2 linked regions of the Coturnix japonica genome follow. The protein of the gene in region 1 binds, or shares a complex with, the protein of each later gene. Links are inferred from orthologs where the notes say so. Each region holds a gene or a part of one and is shown on either strand. Other genes may lie near its edges. The genes, in order: TLR4 and LY96.

The links.
Region 2: the proteins of TLR4 (region 1) and LY96 are in contact, whole or in part, in a crystal structure (PDB 4G8A), measured with the Homo sapiens proteins. The link is inferred for Coturnix japonica from reciprocal best matches to the Homo sapiens genes TLR4 and LY96. Residues at the interface, in NP_612564.1 of Homo sapiens: Gln39, Met41, Glu42, Asp60, Ser62, Phe63, Asp84, Ser86, Arg87, Thr110, Gly111, Val132, Val134, Glu135, Asn156, His159, Ser183, Ser184, Asp209, Leu212, Arg234, Val259, Glu262, Phe263, Arg264, Asn265, Glu266, Arg289, Ala291, Tyr292; in NP_056179.4 of Homo sapiens: Met40, Tyr42, Ile66, Pro67, Arg68, Arg96, Ser98, Asp99, Asp100, Asp101, Tyr102, Ser103, Phe104, Arg106, Leu108, Lys109, Gly110, Glu111, Thr112, Thr115, Thr116, Ile117.

The regions. Positions count from the first base shown.
Region 1 is NC_029532.1:2,459,413-2,462,911, forward strand, and holds the end of TLR4 (toll-like receptor 4), read left to right. Parts: coding exon 1-1,836; 3' UTR 1,837-2,842; downstream 2,843-3,499.
Region 2 is NC_029517.1:106,979,974-106,984,254, forward strand, and holds the start of LY96 (lymphocyte antigen 96), read left to right. Parts: upstream 1-1,415; 5' UTR 1,416-1,688; coding exon 1,689-1,782; intron 1,783-3,169; coding exon 3,170-3,259; intron 3,260-4,281. UniProt on the Homo sapiens protein: Binds bacterial lipopolysaccharide (LPS). Cooperates with TLR4 in the innate immune response to bacterial lipopolysaccharide (LPS), and with TLR2 in the response to cell wall components from Gram-positive and Gram-negative bacteria.

The sequences.
Region 1 (3,499 bases):
GGTGAACTGGTTCTGAGATCCTCTTTCGAGAACCTCAGTGTGATGCAGTCCTCTCTTCAGGGCCTGGCAGGTTTACAGGTCAACAGACTAATAGTTGGAGAATTCACTAACATTCTGAAGCTGACAGCATTTCAGAACGGACTCTTGAGCGGTCTGTGTCAGGTGCAGATGCAGGAGTTTGTCTTAATGTGTTTCAGAGACTTTGAGAATGACACAGACACTCTTTTTGACTGCATAGGCAATGTCTCCACTATTCGGTTCGTGGACCTTCGTCTTGAAACGTTGTCAGAAGTTCCTATGTTTTCTCAAGTGAAACACCTGGAATGGAAGAAATCTAAGTTTCAGGAGTTGCCTGCTGAGAAGCTGTCTCTTTTTAAGGAGTTGAGAGTGCTTCGTATTACCAAGAGCAAAGACCTAAATAGCTTCGAGCAAAAGTTTGGGAGTCTGACTTACCTGGAGGTTGTAGATTTGAGTGAGAATCGTCTCTCCTTCCTTACCTGCTGTTCCCATAAGTTTCCCAGGTCTCCAAATTTGAAACACTTGAACTTAAGCTTCAATTCTGACATCAGTTTGACTGGAGATTTTGCTAATCTGAGAAATCTGCTCTACTTGGACCTTCAACACACCACAATAATTCATCATGGCACCTACCCTGTCTTTCTACTCCTTCAGAAACTCATTTACCTTGATATCTCCTACACCAAAACTCATGTTATGTCCCATCACATCTTTCATGGCTTGGACTCTTTGCAAGTGCTAAAGATGGCAGGCAATTCCTTTGAGAACAACACACTGACCAACTACTTTGAGAATGTAAGACGCCTCCGCATCTTGGATATTTCAAATTGCAAATTGGTATGGGTGGACCAAAGTACATTTAATGCTCTCTCTGAACTAAAAGAGCTAATAATCAGCAACAACAAGCTATTGACTTTTGATCCTGTAACCTACAAGCCACTCCAAGCCCTCACAGCCCTGGATTTCAGCAACAACCAGCTGAGTTTCCTGTCAGACTCAGCCCTGAAAATCCTGCCTGATGGTCTGGTCTCACTAGACATTTCTCACAACTTGTTTGAATGCTCCTGCATACACTTGAACTTCTTGAAATGGGTCAAGGGAAAGCAGGATCTACTGCAGAACAAGCATTCAATGATATGCCACACACCTGCCTACATGGAGAACGTGAGCCTGTCAAGCTTTGATATGTCCTCTTGCCATCCCAACCCAACCACAGTAGCATGCTCAGTGATTGTGTTGGTTGCCGCAGGAGTGTTTCTATTCCTCATTTATAAGTACTTCTTCCAGCTATACTACTCGTTGGTGCTGCTCAGTGGGTGCAAACACTCTGCAGAAAGGGGAGATACCTACGATGCCTTTGTTATCCATTCCAGCAAAGACCAAGAATGGGTGATGAAAGAGCTTGTGGAACCCTTAGAAGAAGGAAAACCTCCCTTCCAGCTTTGTCTTTACTACAGGGATTTTTTACCGGGGGTACCCATTGTCACTAATATAATCCAAGAAGGTTTTCTGAGTAGCAGAAATGTCATTGCAGTCATCTCAGCTGACTTTCTGGAAAGCAAGTGGTGTAGCTTTGAGTTCGACATTGCTCAGTCCTGGCAGCTTGTTGAAGGGAAGGCTGGAATCATCATGATCATATTAGGGGAAGTGGATAAGGCCTTGTTGAGGCAGAGGCTGGGACTGTCCCGATATCTGAGGAGAAACACGTATCTGGAGTGGAAAGACAAAGAAATAAGCAAGCATATCTTCTGGAGGCAGCTGACATCAGTCCTGCTAGAAGGCAAAAGATGGAATCAGGAGGAGATAAAACTCATGTAAAGAGAAAGAAACATCACTTCTGTCCTGTCTCCCACCCTGGCCTTGGCTGATGCTTGGTGCTCAGAAGCCCGTCCTTCTGTGACTGTTCAGGGTTGGACAAAGTGAAAAGAGACAATGTGAAAGCACTACAGAAACACCTACTTTGATGACTGCCCTTCCTCCAGGCAGCTATCAAGATAAGGAGTGGCAACAGCTTGAAAAACTGCAGATGCCTGAGCTCTGTTGTTGTCTGTAGGAGTCAGCTGAAGCCGGTCCAGAAATCCATGCAGATCTGGTGGGTCAGTGAATAGATATGAGAATGGATGGGCTGTTCTTACCTCTGACACTCAGTTTGGGCTGTTTGCTCAGCAGAATTTCAGTCTGACACTTTGAGTGGACCCCAGGGTTTCTGGGTGAGGGTAAAGGTACAGAACAGCTCCAAACTCTAGACATGGTAGGAAAAGAAATAAGATTTAGGTCTGGGTTAGCTAAACTAAAAGTATCCCATCACTAACTGTGACTAAAAGGAGGGAAAGTTTAATGCCATTGAATCACAGTACAGAGCAATCTATTGATGCGTTGGATATTGAATACTGCTGGAGTATTGCTCTCTATTTACGGAAGGCTTTGGTTGGGATTAATCACTGAGTTAGTCTAGTCTTAAACTTGCAAATCCCTCTATAATCAATGCCATTCTACAGAGGTAAAACAGAAGCAATTGAGTGGTGAATCAGACCTGATATTTTCTCAGAAGAAAAGGCCTGATCCATCTCACTTTTCTCAGCACCAGATAGCAGCATCTCCGTGGAAGCCAGCTATAGGTGAGACTGACTTCAGACATTACTTCCAAAAGAGGGAAAGCTAATTTCAGGGCTTGTGCTGGAAAAAGATGCCCCACAGTCCCTTCTCTGTGTGTTCTATCAGTAGTGTATTGGGATAACACTAACAAAAACCTCTCTAGTGTCTTCTGTGACCCATGAAACAAAGCTTTAATAAAACCAAGCTGGATGCTGTGTTTGCTTGCCTAGACAGTTTGTTTTGCACCTGTTGACTAGGGCAGGGGATGGGGATTGGCTATGGGAGGCAGTGCTGGGACACAGGCCCAGCTCTAGTTTCCGTGCCTCAAGGCTACAGGAGAACATGGAGGAAAAGCAAATATTAGCCCCGGATATCATCAGTTACGTCAGGAAAGAGAATGAGGGAAAATGAAATGGGGTGAGACTCACTGCTGCTGAGTTGAGCAGTACAGAAGCATCATTTCTCCATCCCTCTTCGCGTCTCTTCTGCAAACAGTTCGGTGCATACGCATTTCTGGCATCCTATGATTCTTGATTGTAATTGTAATAATGGGCTTCAGAAAGCCTGCAAGTGGTTCTGAGTATCACAATAAGGGTTTAGGCCAGTATTGCTTAAAAAGGAACAGTTTGTTGCATATCAAAGCAACTGTAGGAGGACAGCAGGGGTGGTGCAGAAGAACACCCTATACTGGGGTGCAGTGCCAAGCTGCTGTGTGCTGTAGGTGTCCACCCATGCACCACAGGCTCTGCTGGGTGAGATCCACCACCTCCTGGACAGCCTGTGCCAATGCATTGCCACTCTTTTGAGAAGAAGTGTTTCCTAATAGCCAACCTGATCCTCCCCTGGCACAACTTAAGGCCATCACCTCTTATCCTGCTGAGATGAG
Region 2 (4,281 bases), on another chromosome or scaffold:
GCCTAGTTATGCCAAATTTTTTTAAGTATTGAAAAAGTCTCGTGCAGTACAACTGCAACAAGGAATAGCAGAGGATGCAGGGCTTCCCCACGTGTTTGTGTATGCCACCAGGGGGGACTCCTTCCTCATCTATTTCATTTATGGCAGTAGCTGAGAGAAAACACATCATAGCACTGAACAAGGTGAGAGAAAACACATCATAGCACTGAACGCTGTCTGGAAAGTCACAGGATTCAACAGAGTGTTTGTCTTCATTTTAGTTATGAGAGCTTTTATGTATGACCTTGTAAATCTACGGATTTCTTTCTGATGAGTCCATCAGTTACCCAATGTGCTGTGCAGTGAAGCAAGACCCAGTGTGGCAGCAGAGGGGCACACATTCAGCGGGGTCACCTCATGTCAATGCCCTACAGTCAGTGCAGTCTCCCACCTACTTCAAACAGGCCTGTGACTTTTGTTGGATCTGTTGATTCTACTGTCAGTCTTAGCTTGTTCTGTGACTGATTAGGCTCACTCGAGATCAATGGCTGGAGCTTTTTGATGTAAAACAAATCTTTTCTTTTGCCACAGGTATGAGGTAGCTACTCTTCAGTGTCTGATTCACTATTGCATTTCTTTTTCCAGCTACTGTGGCATCCTGATTTATGTTTATTTTATTACTCACTCTGATACTTTTAAGGAAAAAAAAAGACCATTTGTAAATATAACTAATGTTACCATGGTTACAAATGTTTTGCATGTTTTATAGTGTCCTGTTAAACAACAGCTGAAGTCTGTGTGGGGTGTATGTACTCTGTCAGGGAAATTGTATAAAGCTGAAGTCACAGAATCACAGAATGGATTGGGTTGGAAGGGACCTTACTGTTCATCCTGTTCCAACCCCCCTAACATGCACTGTACTGACAAAATGTTCAGGGTTTGGACTCGATGCTCCAGCATGAATTGCATGACCCAGCTTTTCTGCTAGAGACTGCAGTGAAGAGCATGAGAAGAGGTCACAGAGTTAGGGGGAGGGACGTAGAGCCCATTAGTAGAAATTTTATGGGTTTTTAAGGTTGTTGTCACTAAGAAGTATGACCTTGATAAAGCTTTGAAGGTAGTAGCTGACATAGAGGAGAACTTCAGTGGTTCTACAAGTTAACTGGTTGCATTATATCCATAATGTCTGAGTTCTCTTATGGTATGATGAGCTTTGTAAGAAATTCAGTGTGAAAACATGAGAACTATTGACTACAACACCAGTAAGAGTGGACTAGGCTTTCATCGTTTGAGTGTAAGTTTTCTTTATTATGTACAGGAAACCTTGTGAGCATGTGAAATCAAGCCTTACCAACAATTGCTCCTGTTGAGTCAGCCCCATTTGCCTTTTACATTCTTCTGGTAATTGTATTTTTAGTTTCTCTCACTTCCTCATTTCACACAGTTTTCTCTTTCATTTTTTCACTCGTGACATGAGCTGTTCTGTCTGGAGAAGATGTAACAACAAAGGCAGAAATACTTTTTCTTCATGAAATTCGTGATGAAGATAACTGATAGCACTGGAATAGGATTAATTAAGGAAATTAGAATTTGACAGAACAAAACAAATATTCCCTGGAGACGTGAAGCTGAGGATGGCCATGCTGCATTTTTGTTCCTCTTTCCCCAAAATGAAGCATTCCGCCCAATACCGATCAAAATAAGTAAATATGTTGGAGTTTATCTTTTTCATTTTGTTCACTCCTGGAGCCAGTGAATTTCTCTGTACATCATCAGATCTAGAACTATCGTACGCTTTTTGTGGTAAGTAGAAACTAGCTTATTCTTTTCTTTCTGTCCTGTGTGCAATAATTACACTAATCTAAGGCAAACTGAACCTTCTCTTCTGTATGTTTCTTGGATGAATCAGGCAAATATAAACAAGAGTTTCAGCTGGTGTATATTTCTGGTCTTAATCACCCTGTTATAAGAATCATGCTGCATAAATGTTAAGTATTACCTCGATGGCGGCTTGCAGTATCTAAGAGGGAAGGTGTTTACTACTCAGTAGAGAAAGCATGAGGCATATTTTGATTCAGGAAAAGCTGGAAGATAGGAGTTTTGAATTTGGTTTGGAAGTTCTGTATTGTCCAAATTACCCATACTGATTTAATTAATATTTTACACTTAAAATATTGAAAAATAAAACAGCCTGTGTGACTCTGTGCCAGGCTGGGGGGCAGTGCAGCTCTGGGGCAGCAAGACAACTTCTCTGCTGGTTGCTAGCTGTCTCTGAGCAGTAGGTGACGGGATCCATGTAGTTCACTGACTTTTTTCATCAGTTCTGCAGCAATGAGGCACAAGGAGGCTGCGAGGGCCAAGCGGGCTCCTTGTGAACATGTATACTCAATGGCAGGAAGGCAGGAATTCTAGGAGATAGATATTTTTCAAGGAAAGAAGCTCGTCTATGCGCACTACCAGTGCATATCACCTGTAAAATATCTATACAAACTAAAGCACAAGAGGGAATGTTTACCTTGGGTATTTTGCTTTCCATTAACACTCATTTAAAAAATGTAACACGTCTGTGTTAGGCCTAAGCTTGCAAACTGACTACGGTGTGTTTTGTTCTCCGTTTTCTAGCATAATTTCCCGTATGCAGTTGTGATCAGAACATGACTGCCAATTACCAGCAGTCAGACAGTCCTTTTGCACAACCCTTGCTTGAATCCACAAAATAGAAGACAGAGCTCATTATAAATCATGATGAAGTCACTGCTGCAACCTGAGCTGGCCTGCTAGCCTTGGGCAACATGCTAGTATGTATAATACACAGCTAGCATAAGTAGGAATATTTTTATCAGAGGATCCTGATGGCATAATTCTAATGCAAAGTGTGTGACTTTGAAAAGGAAAGAAGCATGCTTCTTGCCTGTTTGAGTGCAAAATGTAATTCATCCAACAAATGACTTTTCTTACTTCTCAGTCACAAAGTAATCTGATGCTGCTTTTGCCTTCTAACTATGTAAACAATCAGGAGCATCATTTGAAAAGATCTTTAATGTTTACTACAAATAATTAGATTACACAGTTGTATAATATATACTTTATATTAGGTCTATTTGTATTGAGTGTTTGTGTTTACTGTAAGTGTATACATACATCCATGTGCAATAATTCACTAACAACATGAAATAATTTTATCCTGTAGATTCTTCAGCTCATTATTTCAAGTTTAACGTGACACCCTGCAGCATGCTGAACAGATCCGTCTGGCATGCTGCTATTACCTGGATTCCAAGTGAGTCACTATTGCCTAGAGAATTATATTGTCCGAATGCAAAGAAATAATAAGTGACACAAGCAAAAAACTGCCACTTCATCCTAAATGTCAGTTTATTTAAGAGATACTTTTCTGTGATTAACAATGGAACGAATAAACTACAGCGATGGACAGAAATGATGATTTCTAAACTGTTTGTGAAAATAAGAGTGTTTGAATTTGACTTGTTTGTGCAGGTTCCATAGCTCAGAGCACTGACTGGCATTGCACGTACCATTGTGAGTCAGCTCAGGTACTTCTAGAAAAAGCAAATAAACTTTTGGTGCACACATCCTTTTCTGGTCTGAAAAAGACCCATGCTATTTTAAGGGGAGAAAATATCCAAGCACATCGGGACTAAGAATATGCACACTCCAGAAACTGGAAATATGGTAATAGAGTGTGTGTGTAAACCTAGCTTTAAACTAATCTTTAAAACCAGTTTTAAGCTGGCAAATTGTGTAATGAAACATGTATGGGCAGCACTTTCAAACATATAGTTTGATTTTTGAGCGGTGCTGTTTGAAGCCTGGAGTTGGACTTGATGATCCTTATCCCTTCCAACTCGGGATATTCTGTGATTCTATTAGCCTGTGAGCTATATCTCAAACTTCACCTGCTCCGTGAAAATTCTGAAGCTGGGGTAAGATTACTTCCCTGGTAAAGTAACTTTATGATGGCTACCAGCAATCTGGACTATTTGTTTAAAATACGTGCTTAAAATTATATGTGTGGAATCTCTTAGGGACAAGCTATGGAGCTAAGTGAACACTGTTGTCTTTGCTGAAGAAATTGAAAGAGATTTTGAAATTTGTCACTAATATTTCTTGAGACTGATTCCTTTTGGTAAAAGAAACCAACTTTCTTTTTTTTTTTTCCTGGAAAGAATGGTTTTCAAGAAATGTATATTTGTTTTTAGGGACTTTAAAAAAATGAAATATCAGAAAAAAAATAGTTTTTAGTCGAAATAGTATGTCTGCACATGTATTTTTTCCTCCTTA